3 linked regions of the Notamacropus eugenii genome follow. The main gene of each other region encodes a partner of the protein of the gene in region 3 in a complex. Links are inferred from orthologs where the notes say so. Each region holds a gene or a part of one and is shown on either strand. Other genes may lie near its edges.

Evidence for each region. Proteins that work in one complex are often made in the same cells at the same time.
Region 1: the proteins of ARPC1B (region 3) and ARPC5L are in contact, whole or in part, in a cryo-EM structure (PDB 6YW6), measured with the Homo sapiens proteins. The link is inferred for Notamacropus eugenii from reciprocal best matches to the Homo sapiens genes ARPC1B and ARPC5L. Residues at the interface, in NP_005711.1 of Homo sapiens: Arg118, Lys138, Arg142, Phe164, Ser201, Gly203, Trp204, His222, Asp223, Ser224, Thr225, Leu240, Ala241, Ser242, Glu243, Thr244, Leu245, Pro246, Phe281; in NP_112240.1 of Homo sapiens: Asn21, Lys22, Arg102, Gly139, Leu140, Gly141, Ile144, Arg145, Thr148, Arg150, Lys151.
Region 2: ARPC1B (region 3) and ARPC5 share a complex: the UniProt entries of both Homo sapiens proteins name them as parts of the arp2/3 complex. The link is inferred for Notamacropus eugenii from reciprocal best matches to the Homo sapiens genes ARPC1B and ARPC5.

What each region holds. Positions count from the first base shown.
Region 1 is NC_092872.1:447,142,900-447,146,644, reverse strand, and holds the start of ARPC5L (actin-related protein 2/3 complex subunit 5-like protein), read right to left. Parts: upstream 2,552-3,745; 5' UTR 2,356-2,551; coding exon 2,192-2,355; intron 1,864-2,191; exon of another isoform or gene 1,761-1,863; intron 1-1,760. UniProt on the Homo sapiens protein: May function as component of the Arp2/3 complex which is involved in regulation of actin polymerization and together with an activating nucleation-promoting factor (NPF) mediates the formation of branched actin networks.
Region 2 is NC_092873.1:461,445,839-461,449,583, reverse strand, and holds the start of ARPC5 (actin-related protein 2/3 complex subunit 5), read right to left. Parts: upstream 2,726-3,745; 5' UTR 2,591-2,725; coding exon 2,448-2,590; intron 923-2,447; coding exon of another isoform or gene 894-922; exon of another isoform or gene 306-893; intron 37-305; coding exon 1-36. Other genes in the region: APOBEC4 (putative C->U-editing enzyme APOBEC-4), read right to left, coding at 3,447-3,727. UniProt on the Homo sapiens protein: Component of the Arp2/3 complex, a multiprotein complex that mediates actin polymerization upon stimulation by nucleation-promoting factor (NPF).
Region 3 is NC_092874.1:379,899,736-379,903,480, forward strand, and holds the start of ARPC1B (actin-related protein 2/3 complex subunit 1B), read right to left. Parts: upstream 3,040-3,745; 5' UTR 2,782-3,039; intron 1-2,781. UniProt on the Homo sapiens protein: Component of the Arp2/3 complex, a multiprotein complex that mediates actin polymerization upon stimulation by nucleation-promoting factor (NPF).

The DNA of each region.
Region 1 (3,745 bases), on a different chromosome or scaffold from region 3:
AGCTCTTTGAGATCCTCAATAATTTATAAGAGTAATAAGGGTGTCTGAGATCAAAAGGTTTGAGAACCTTAAGACTAGATGTCAAGTCTCTTCAAAATCCTGTGACTTCCTATGATCCATTGTTTCATTTGAAGAATGCAGGCTACATTCCACTGACTATAGTATTAGCCATATTTTACAGAAATTTGAGACCCAAAGAGGCTAAGTTGCTTTTCCAAGGTCACAAAGACAATAAGAAGCAGAAACTGAATTCAAACCCAGGTCTTTTGACTTCAAGTACAGAGTTCTTTCTACTAACACCTCAAATTTTTTTTTACAAAAGAAAAGTATGCAATTAAAATTAGAAATAGCAAGGCATAATAGACAGGGAACTGACCTTAAAGCCAAGACCTCTGACTCACAAGGGCTCTGTGATCCTGGGCAACTCTTGGCCCTCTCAGTGCTCTAGGCAACTTTCTAAGACACTAAGTTGCAGAGATGATGTAGCCATGCAAAGAGTGAGTTTTCTGAGAATTCCCTACAGCAGTGAAATCACAGGCCCTGTGATGCATAGAGATGCATTAAAAAAACACCAACTGCAAGCCATAGTTATGATTTTTTTTTTAACAAGTCAGCTTTAAGGAGAGAAAAGTATGATCAGATCAAAAAAAGAAAAAGTACAGTCAGACCAAAGTGATAATGTTTGCATTATTGTCCTCACAGGGTTGTTGTAAACCTCAGACATAAAACAGGGAGCTGTTCAACGGAGCTGTTAAATTTCCTCCACTTGAGACTGCTCCCTGGAGTAGTCCTTATTTTCTGAGACTGAGTCAACCAATTAAAGGATCTTTGGGTAAATAAAAGCTGCACATTATGTGTCAAACTTCTTTATTAGAAGTTGTACCAGAGAGACATAGCTGACTATAGCCATCAATAAAATGAAGTATATTCTTCTTTCTGAAGTCATGAACAGCTAAGCGCCACTTGATAACCTTCCTGCTTATAAAGATTTTGCTTCCATAGCCAGAAATAAGACCACTTCCAGAGTTTAGGGAGCCTATTTTTGGCCTTTATGAGAAGCTGTCTCACTTTTTAAAATCTCTAAAACTGCTTCCAACCTCAAAGGGAAACAATATGGAGAAAAGATATGCCAAACAAGGAACACTAAAAGCTGTTGAAATAGCAAAAATATACTAACAGAGAATGAGATGAGGCTATTTTTAGAAGCCAAACATTCTAGGCAGGAGAAAAAAAAGTACTTCTGGGGAAATAAAGAAGAAAGTCACAATTTCAGACAGTGGGAACCAGCACTAGCCCTTCCAGCTTTCCTTTCTATTCCCAGGCAGGGGTAAAAAATCCACGGGGCCTTCTTGTATTCTAAAACTGCTTCCCTCACTTCCCCTCCCCCACCGCACACCTATTTTTAACAAGGCTCGATCCCTGTCACAGCATGAGGGTATGAAGCACGGTTAATGAATGCAGATCTGTATCTGGAACTGCTCTGACCCCATCCATTACTCAGCACTGGATCACCTTGGGCACTCCCCAGACCGGCTGAGGAGAAGGGCCCCATTTCCTGCCCCATTTCCCCCCCTACATCTCCACTCCGTAGGGTGGGGTCCCATGCAGTTAAAGACACCCACCCCTTCCATTTCTGAACAGGTAAAACCAACCACTCCACATTTTTCCCAACTTGGCCCATCCCTCCGGCCCTCACACCTGTATTCAGTCCCAGGCCGGTGGGATGGGGAAATCAGAACACTTGGAGAAGCCAGAGTCCCAGGGCTTCGGGGGCAAGTTCCCGGAGGCTGCCAATCTCTTTACACAAAGCAGGGATGGAGGTGCAAATCACCAGAGGGGAAAACAAGGTGCTGACCCCCTGAGGTGCGTGGGGGGGGGGACCCTCGATAAATGTTTCCTACCTTGAGCGGGTTCTACAATGTACCGGAAAAGCTAAACCTGCAGCACAGAACTAGGATGGGGAGAGAGGAATCTCCGAACCGCCGGACCGGTGGGATGCAGCCGGGCGGAGAAGGGTGTCCGGAATCGCGGGGCGGCCCTGGAAGGCTCTGGGGGTGAGCGGGGGTGACCGGCGCTCGCCACCTCGCCACGCTCCCCTCCCCGACCCCTCCCCCCCTCCTCTGGGTCTCTCCCTGCCTGCGCCCCCTCCTCCTCTCCCTCCCCGGAGCCCGCGCGGGGGGCGGAAGGATATTGCCGCAGGAGGCTGTCCACCTCCCCGGGGTCCGGGTCCGAGTCGGGGCCCGGCTCCGCCGCCGTGGCCGCCGCCGCTTCCTCCTGCTCGTCCACGAACTTGTTCTCGTCGAACTCGTCGATGTCCACCTTGCGGAAGCGCGAGGACAGCGTGTTCCGAGCCATGGCGGCGGCCGCCTCCGCCTCCCGCGCAAGGCCGGGGGAGAGAGAGAGAGAGGAGACAGCGAGAGACCGCGAGAGCGCGAGCGAGAAGACCCCGCAGGGACAGCGCTCGGAGCCCGGCAACGGCCCCGGCAACGCTCCGGAGACGACTCCGCCGCGCCGCGCGCCGCGCCGCGACGCACACCCACTTCCGGCCAGGGCCGGAAGCGGATGTCGGTCAGCGAGGGGGCGGGGCTGGGCTTGGGGAGGCAAGGAGGCTGCTTTGCGCCGGCGAGGCTGACCCCGGGCCGCTTCTGCCGGCTGGCGGCTGCGGGGCGGGGGAGGGGCGTGGTGGTAAATAATCGTTCCAAACCGATGCCCTACTGCGAGTGTGTCAGGATTTACCCCATCAGCAACAGCCCAGGGAAGTAAGAAGGGCTGAGGACTAACCGTCTTCTTCTGCCCGAATCTAGAAAGGGCAGCTGGAGCGTCCCTGAGGCCCCTCCCAGACCTCGCCGTCTGAGAATTTGTGAGTGATTGTGCCCTGCTGGCCCAGGGAGTCAGCGGGCACTGGTCAGGGAGGCGGAGAAAAGGCCCCTGCTCTCCCGGATCTCAGTCTGCCCAGGAGACTGGCCGGACAGCTACGAAGAGAGGAGGGGGAGACAGCCCCAGAGGAAAGGCCTGTGTTCGGCCTTCCTTCTCAGAGAGGACCATGACGTCAGGGAGATGACGACATGACTTGCCCTTGACCTGGTTTTGAGTGAGGGAGGGCTGTGCCAGGTCACCAGCCTCACTGGAGATGGCCCAGGATGTAGTGGGAGACCCTGGCTCTTTTAGGCGAAGACTTTTCAGGTTCTCACTTTGAGTGAATTAATACCCATTCAGTGAATAGGCCTCTTTGTCAAGGGATGACCCCTTTAATCTAAAAAGAAAAAAAGGGAAGGCCCTAGTAGGAGGGAAGAGTGGGAAAGGCTTCTTGTAGTTAATCAATATATTATTTCAGTCAATCACTAAATATTTATTAAGCACCCATTATGTACTAAATTGTGCTAAATGCTAGGCATAAAAAAGAGGCAGAATACAATCTTGCCCTCAAGGAGCTTACAATCTAAGGAACTTTAAGGAAGGAGAAGTAAGGAAGTGGAATTAGGGAGAGAATTCTAGGCATGGAGAACAGCTTTCCCCTTTAATCAGAGGGGTCCCAGAGGCAGAGGGTACTGATGAGGTCGGTACCAAGGCTGATAATGTGATTTTGCAGAATGGTGAGGTTCCTAGGAGAACCTGACTGCTAAGTGCTTTACAAATATTCTCTTTTTTGATCATTTAATTACAGCTGTTGGAGAGCCAGGACTATCACTCATCTTTGCCTTGCCTTTACTACTGATGAATCACAGATCTCAATAAGTAGAGGAGC
Region 2 (3,745 bases), on a different chromosome or scaffold from region 3:
TTCAGAGCTGCCTGTAATGCAGCTGTCATGTTCCCTGTAATAGAAGTTAAGGATAACAAGAAAACCAAGCACTTGACTACATGAAAACTATTCATCAAATATTGTCCCTTTATATATTCCTTTATTACCCTTGTATTATTTTTATTTGAATTGTACCTTTGTAGCTTATGGATAACCTGTGCTACTATGATGGATGCATATTAGAAAATTCAATGTGACAGCTTCCAGGAGGCAAATTTACAATGAAATAATACTTTCTATATTATAAATACATGTAAAGATAAAAAAAAAACACTAGGTGTCACTACCATTTGATCCTACTTTATTCATTCACATATGTTCCCCAAATCCTTAATATAAGCTTGATAGGTTTTGATTTTCAAATTAACACCAGCATGCAAAGAATCACCTGAAGATGTAACACAGCAAGGATTACAGAAACCCCAATGTTACAACAGAACTACTGTAATGTAGAACTATTGTTAACCCCAAATGGTGTAGTCCTAACAGGAAAACCTTTTTCTGTCATCTACCAAAATAGGAAGTTCTAATGGAAAAGAATGCTGTCTTGTTCCCAAAACCTTACACTGAGTTAAAGAGGGTACTAAATACACTGCTAATTTGAATATCACCTCTGAATATCTAATAAGGCCACCTTCTTTAAAGAAGCACCAGAAAACCAACCTAACAAGAGGCAAAACTATAAATAATTTCCTACTTTGTTCTTTCATTAAAAGTTTCATTTAATGGTTTAATTTAGAAAATGTTTCTTTTCTTCTTTTTCTTGGACTTGTCAAAAGGTTAATCACCAAATTCAGACCACAGCAACAAGACTGAAACTCTCCTTCTTGAAAGCACCACCGACTGAGCAATCATGAGGAACTGAAAGCCAATCAGACTGTCAGAATGTAGAGTTGTTCCCCTAAAAGGAAAACCACACAGCGTTCATTTGTTTCCTCCATTTCTAGAACCATATAGACGGTTCCAAGACTGTATATCTTTCCCTAGGTCTAGTAAAATAAAGAAGACTTATCTTTACGCTTTTTAGTAAGTGCAGTTTTATCTACTGATCTACTAATATTTTGAATGAAATGCACATCCTAATCAAAATATAGTCAAATCACTTAAAAATAATTTAGAGATATGTCAAATCAGACATTAAAAATCATAGGTTTAGGTCACTAGGGGTCCTTAAAGAGAGTTCAAGTTCAACCCTTTCATTTTACAGTGGAGGAAACTGAGCTCCAAAGGGGAACTGACTTGGCCAAGACCACATAGCTCAGAACTGGAATTAGAACCTGGGTCTTCCTACTCCAGCAGGCTTTCTCCTACCCCGGCTGTCTTCAAATGATAATTTGTTAACAGAAGACAATTTATGGTAAGTAACAAAGGATGGTGCCTCTTACAACCTATTGGCTTAGAGGAATCAATGACTGAATTAAAAAACAAAAAACCCAAAACAAATGAATCCCTTCTCCTCTTATTATTTTCAAGGCTACTTCCTTTCTGTAGTTTAGGTTCATACAGAGTAGGGGATGATTATTAAATATTTCACAGAAAGGTAACGGAGCAGAACCACAGCTCATACAGGCATTTCTACGTACAAGCAGAGAAATTCTGAAAAATGATGATTATAAACATTTAGAGCTGTGTTTAAGAATGCCTTAAGACATCAACGGTACCACCAAGTATATTTACTTTTTACATATTTCTCCCTGTAACAAAAGCTGGCAAAAAAATCATCTGATTAAAAAAAAATTTCAAGAACCATTATTACAGTGTAAAACAAAGGGATTTTTAAAAACCAGATTTGGTCGCTGCAACACCTACATCCTCCCATAGATGTTACAAAATGTATTCAAACCCACTTATGAATATTCAGATATGCAAAAGCTGGGGAACGGTGGCCTCATTTAAACTAAAAATGGGAACAATCTGAAAATCCCTCAAATGTTGTGCGCTATTCCTCCCAGTTACCATCTTCCTCTCTCAGGGCTAATTCTGGCCAGGTAGAATTCCACCAGAGAGGGCCGGGAGGTTTTCTGGACAGCTTCTGTGCCTTTTGAGGCCACCCTAGGCTAAGGAGGGAATCCGTGCCGGACCAAACCTTCAGGACGAGGGATAATAAGGAGATCTTGGGAAGATAAACGGGGATAAAGACTTTCTGCCGCCCCCACCCCCCCCGGAAAAATATTTTAAATTATGAAAGGAAAAAGCAGCCTTCTAATGAACTGATCCCCCTCCCCTTCAAAAGCTCGCTCTACACAGGGGACAGCACCCAGTCTTCTCCCCGGCCCACGGACCGGTCAATGGAGCGCTGGCGTGGAAGGGGGAAGGGCGCCCCGGGTCGTGGGCAGGGGGGTCCCCCGCGGCCAGGCCGGTGACAGGTCTGGCCCACGCACGCGCGGGGAGGCGGCCCGGAGCCCCGCGGGTGGGCGGAAGGATATTGTCGCAGGCACGAGTCCACCTCGCCCTCGTCGGGCCCGGCCTGGCCCTCGCCTCCGTCCTCCTCGTCCACGAACTTGTTCTCGTCATACTCATCCACATCCACCTTTCGGAACCGGGCCGACGACACCGTGTGCTTCGACATCCCCACGCCGGACCGGGTGGCAATTAGCCCCTGTGCTGGTCGTCGCCGCCGCTGTCCCCGGAGCCCCCAGCTCCGGCTCCGGCGTCTTCGGCTCGCTCTGCGGCTTCACTTCCCTCTTCCGCTCTGGGGCGTCGCCCGCTGCTGCGCCGGCCGCTACTGCGCCTGCGTCTCGGGGAGGGGAGGACTCCGGCGCTTGGGCCTACCCCTCCTCCACCAAGGCAGCGCCAGCCCGCGGAGGAAGCGCGCTTCTCTTTGTACGCAAGCGCAAACTCCCCTCCCCCCCCAGTGACTCCTCCCACGCAGAAAGGGGGCGGGGTTGAGAGAAAGGGGTGGGCGGAAAGAAAAAGAGGAAGGGCAGAAAGCAAAACCGCTGGAGGAGGCAGAGGTAAGAGACGATTGGTCGTCCGCGCGGGCCACGTGATCCCCAGGGGGTTACCATAGAAACAGACTCTGTGGACCGGTCCTTACACTGGTCCGCTCGGGGTCCTCGGGGCCCGGGGTGGGGGCGGGGCCGGACTGGAGCGGCCGCCGCCGCGGCGCTGTAACTAGGGTCCCGTCGCGCTGGGGGGCTGTGGGCTCGTGCCGCGGGAGGGAGGTCACTGCAGGGGCGCACGTCTGTGAAGCGGAGCCCCCCCAGGCCGGCCAGGACCCCGGGGAATGTCCGGGAGGGAGGAGGCCCGCGGGCCCAAGACTCAAAGCCTGACTGGGGAATTCGGGCTGGAGGTGGGAAGATGGCTAGATGGGGGGGGGGGGGGGGGGTGACCTCCCTGCGATGAACCTGTTGCAAACAGGGTGTGTATGGGGGGGGTCAGTCCGTCGGTCCGTTCCCAAGCAGCCGTTAAGCGCCCGCTGGGTGCTAGGCTGAACCCAGACCCTGCTCTCCAGGGGGCCTGACTGGGCACAAGCCAGATGAATACGGGACAAAGCGAGGCGTCCTCCCAGAAGGAGGGCACCACCCGACAGGGCCAAGAACGGTGTCTTGGGAGAGTCCGCTTTTAGGTGATGCTTGGAGGAAGCAAGAGACGCTGGCAGGGAGACATGGGAAGAGTGTACCTGGCGTGGGACACAGCCTGGGGAAAGGCCCCCAGTCTGGAGAAGGGATGTCCAGCGTGGGAGACAGCCGGGAGGCTGATGTCACTGTATGGGAGAGTAGAT
Region 3 (3,745 bases):
AAGAGTTTCAAATTATCCCAACCTCAACCCCCTTTTATCGGCAGCAACAAACACACTTCCTGCCTAAATTGACCCACAGAACCCAGAGGTCCCTCTTAGCTGAATTCATCTCTTTGGATGAATCTCCTATGCATGTGAAATGTCCTCTCTCAGCCAGGCCTAAAGAACATGGATTTAAGAGCTTTAAGGGATCTCAGGAACCATCTCGTCCAATCCTCTCATATTACAGACATGGAGACCAAGGCCCCAAAGGATTAAGCAACTTTTCCAAGGTCAACAGGTTCTAAATGGCAGAACTGAGTTTTGAACCCAGGCTACAAATCCAGAGGTCTTTCCTCTGGACCAGATTTCAACTTTTTGGGAATTACTCAGGAAGAGAGTAACTGGTCTCATAAACTCCAATAATCTCAGAGCTTAAAGGGGCTTTAGCTACCACCTAACCAATCCTTCCATTTCACAAAAGAGGAAATTGAGGTCAAAAGAGTTTAAGTTACTTGGCCAACGTCACAGATTTAGTACAAACTGGAAACTAAAGTCCAAGTCAATCAGTCCAAAAGCATTTATTAATTGGCCACCATGTGCCAAGCACTGTTCTAGGCACTGGGGATTCAAAGACAAGATGAAACTGTCCCTGTTTTCATTCTATTGGGAGAGAGAATGTGCAACACTAATAAATATATATTGAATGAATACCAGGCAGCTGTGGCATAGTGGATAAGGGCAATAGGAAATTATCTTCAAATCAGGCCTCAGATGCTTCTAGCTGTGTGACCCTAGACATGTCACTTAAACTCTGTATGTCTTAGTTTCCTCATCTATAAAATGGGGATAATAATAGTATCTACCTCCCAGGGTTATAATGAGGATTAAATGAGATAGTAATTTAAAGCGCTTAGCATAGCACCTGTAACATAATAAATACTATACAAATGTTAGCTATTATTATCGTTAGCTTTTAAAATAAATACAAGGTAACTTAGGGAGGAAGGGCGTCAGCATTTGGAGGGGACTGAGAAAGATTTCAAGGGGTAGCTAGGTGGTGCAGTGGATAGAGCACCAGTCCTGGAGTCAGGAGGACCTGACTTCAAATCAGGCCTCAGATACTTACTTACTATATGACCCTGGGCAAGTCACTTAACCCTTATTGCCTTCAAAAAAAATAGAAAAGAGAAAGATGACAAGTAGGAGGCAGTGTTTTATCTCAGTCCTGAAGAAAATATAAGACTCTTTGAGGTGGAAAGGAAGGAAAGTATTCCAGGCACAGGGGACCACTGATATGGAGGCCCAAAGATTGGAAATAAGGTACTATGTAAGAAAGAACAGGGCTAGTTTGATTAGCCCACCAAGCATGGGAAGGGGGCAATGTATAATGGACTCAAAAGGTAGACTGGGGCCAGATTTTGAAGGGCTTTCAAAGCCAGAAGAGTTTCTATTTTACCCTAGAGGTCTCCTGACTTCTAGCCAGTCTATTCCCTGCCCAAGATCTCTGCCCTCAGTGCAAAGTTCAAGTAGACTGAAAAGCATGAAGAGTGAATTGGAAAACGGAGCAATCAACAGATCCCATGTCCAAGGGTTTGCCTTCTAGGCTCAGTGATAATTAGTTACCAGAACTGCTGAATACTAGGGAAAGGACACAGGTTTCTACCTAACGTTCACAGCCAGTAAGTAGGCTTCCTCCTAAAACCTCTTTTCCTTCCCCCCTCTTCTGTGGGCAGATCTGTCCTCTGGGAGATATGACCCAGAGGGTAACTCTGTGGGAGGGTAACCCCAGGATCAATTCTGGGGAATTGGGGACCTAGGAATGGAGACACATTTTTGAACCCACCTTTTTTGAACCCACCTTTGCTGCTAACGCCATGCATGGGCTTTTCAACTTCCTCATTTGTGAAACTCGGGGATTGGGTCATATGATTTCTCATGTCCCATCTAGCACGGACAGTCTTATGTTCTACAGCCCTATCAGCTCTGACATTCTGTGTTCTATGCTCCAAGATCCCTTTCGAATGATCGTTTCTCCTTTCAAGGCCTCTTTAGATTCTAAAACTCTATGGTCTAAGGGTTCTGGCTTTCTGGGCTTCTGTAAAAGATGCAGAGAACATTCTCTGTATCTCCAAAAGGCAGCAAGCATTTATTAAACACCACATGCCGGGCACTGTGTTCATCTCTGGGAATGCAAACAGGTACAAAGAATCTTCTTTTCCTTAACCTGTGGCTGGCTTGAAGATGAGGACCCTGGGGAGGTGTTAAGGCAGAGAGAGAAGTAGAGTTCTCTAAGACAGCAGGCTCGTGGGGAAATGGTTTAGTTTCTAAGAGGATTCCAAATTCATATTCATAATATCTGGTCCTAGACCCTATATATTCCAGTAGAGACAGGGAGTGGGAGAGCAGAAATAGGAAACCAGGCATATTTCAGGGAGGTGGAGAGGGAGAAACTCACAAGAAGTCTCATTGGAGAAACGTCTGACTACATCCTTACTTCGAAACCTAAGGGGCAGAGATGGGAAGGGCTGTCCAAGTCACTCCACCCTCACTTTAAAACAGGCAGAATATATATTTTTTGAGGCAGAATATTCTTAATGAGTAGAAAAACTAAACAGAAAGAAAAAATGATTGCCTGCGCATTTCTGAGACACACACACACACACACACACACACACACACACACACACACACACACACACACACACACACACACACACACACACACACACACACACACCCCCCATCTCCCAGAGATCTAGCCTTAAAGGTACACACACTCACACACACACTCTTCCTTACCTTGGAGAGAAAAGCCAGATGCGGATGAGCCGGGGCCGGGGGATGCTCAGTCCTGGGCGAGCTGGTTCATGGACTCTGAGCAGTCCACATGAACCTCAGCCCAAGCGGCTCTGGGGACTGAAGACAGAAGTTCTGAGTTTCTCTGAAGTAATCTGACTTCCCTTTCCCTCCCCAAGAGAAGCAACCACTTCCTTGTGTGGGCGTTGGGGGACTGCAGCCCCAGCGAGCCGCCCGCCTGCCCTGCCTTGGCTCCCGCCCTCCCTTCCTCCTGCTCTCGCTCCCGCCTTCCTTCCCTCCCTCTCTCACTCCCTCCTTTCTTCTCTCCTTCCTACTGCTCTGCTCCCTGGCTCTGCCAGGCTGCCTGCACCCTGACCACTTCCCCTCGTGCTCTTGGAAACATAGAAGGAAAGGTGTTTCACCCTTCCAACACCTCCGAGTCCTGTGACTCCCGAGATGCTAAGAAGGCGCATAGATTCATTCAAACCCTCAGCAGATAGCAACCCCACCCCACTCACCCACTCACTCACTCACTCACTCACTCACTCACTCACTCACAGGGCAGCCACTGCCCGGAGTGAAATCTGGAGACAAGCAGCTAGAACCCAAATGCCACGTGTGCCCCTCTCCCCACCCCCTCCCCCTGGAGAGTTACATACCAGTGTGGACTTCACAACTTTAGAAGCCTGTGGTTTGTGGTAGCTTTGGGGGGTTGGGAGGAGGGGGAAGGATGTTACCAGCAACTTCTCATTTTTAATGCTTGCCCCCTCATCAAATGCGTTATCTTGTGGAACAGTATCTAGAGAGCTAACCTCAAAGACCTGAGTTCCAATTCTGTCTCTGATCGATATTGGATGTGTGACCCTGAGCAAGGCAAGTCGCTTCTCCATAAGTTGCAGAAAAGATCCAAACTTGGAGAAGTAAAGGGAGTTTCCTGATCTAGGAGTTCCCTAGACTAGTGAAATCC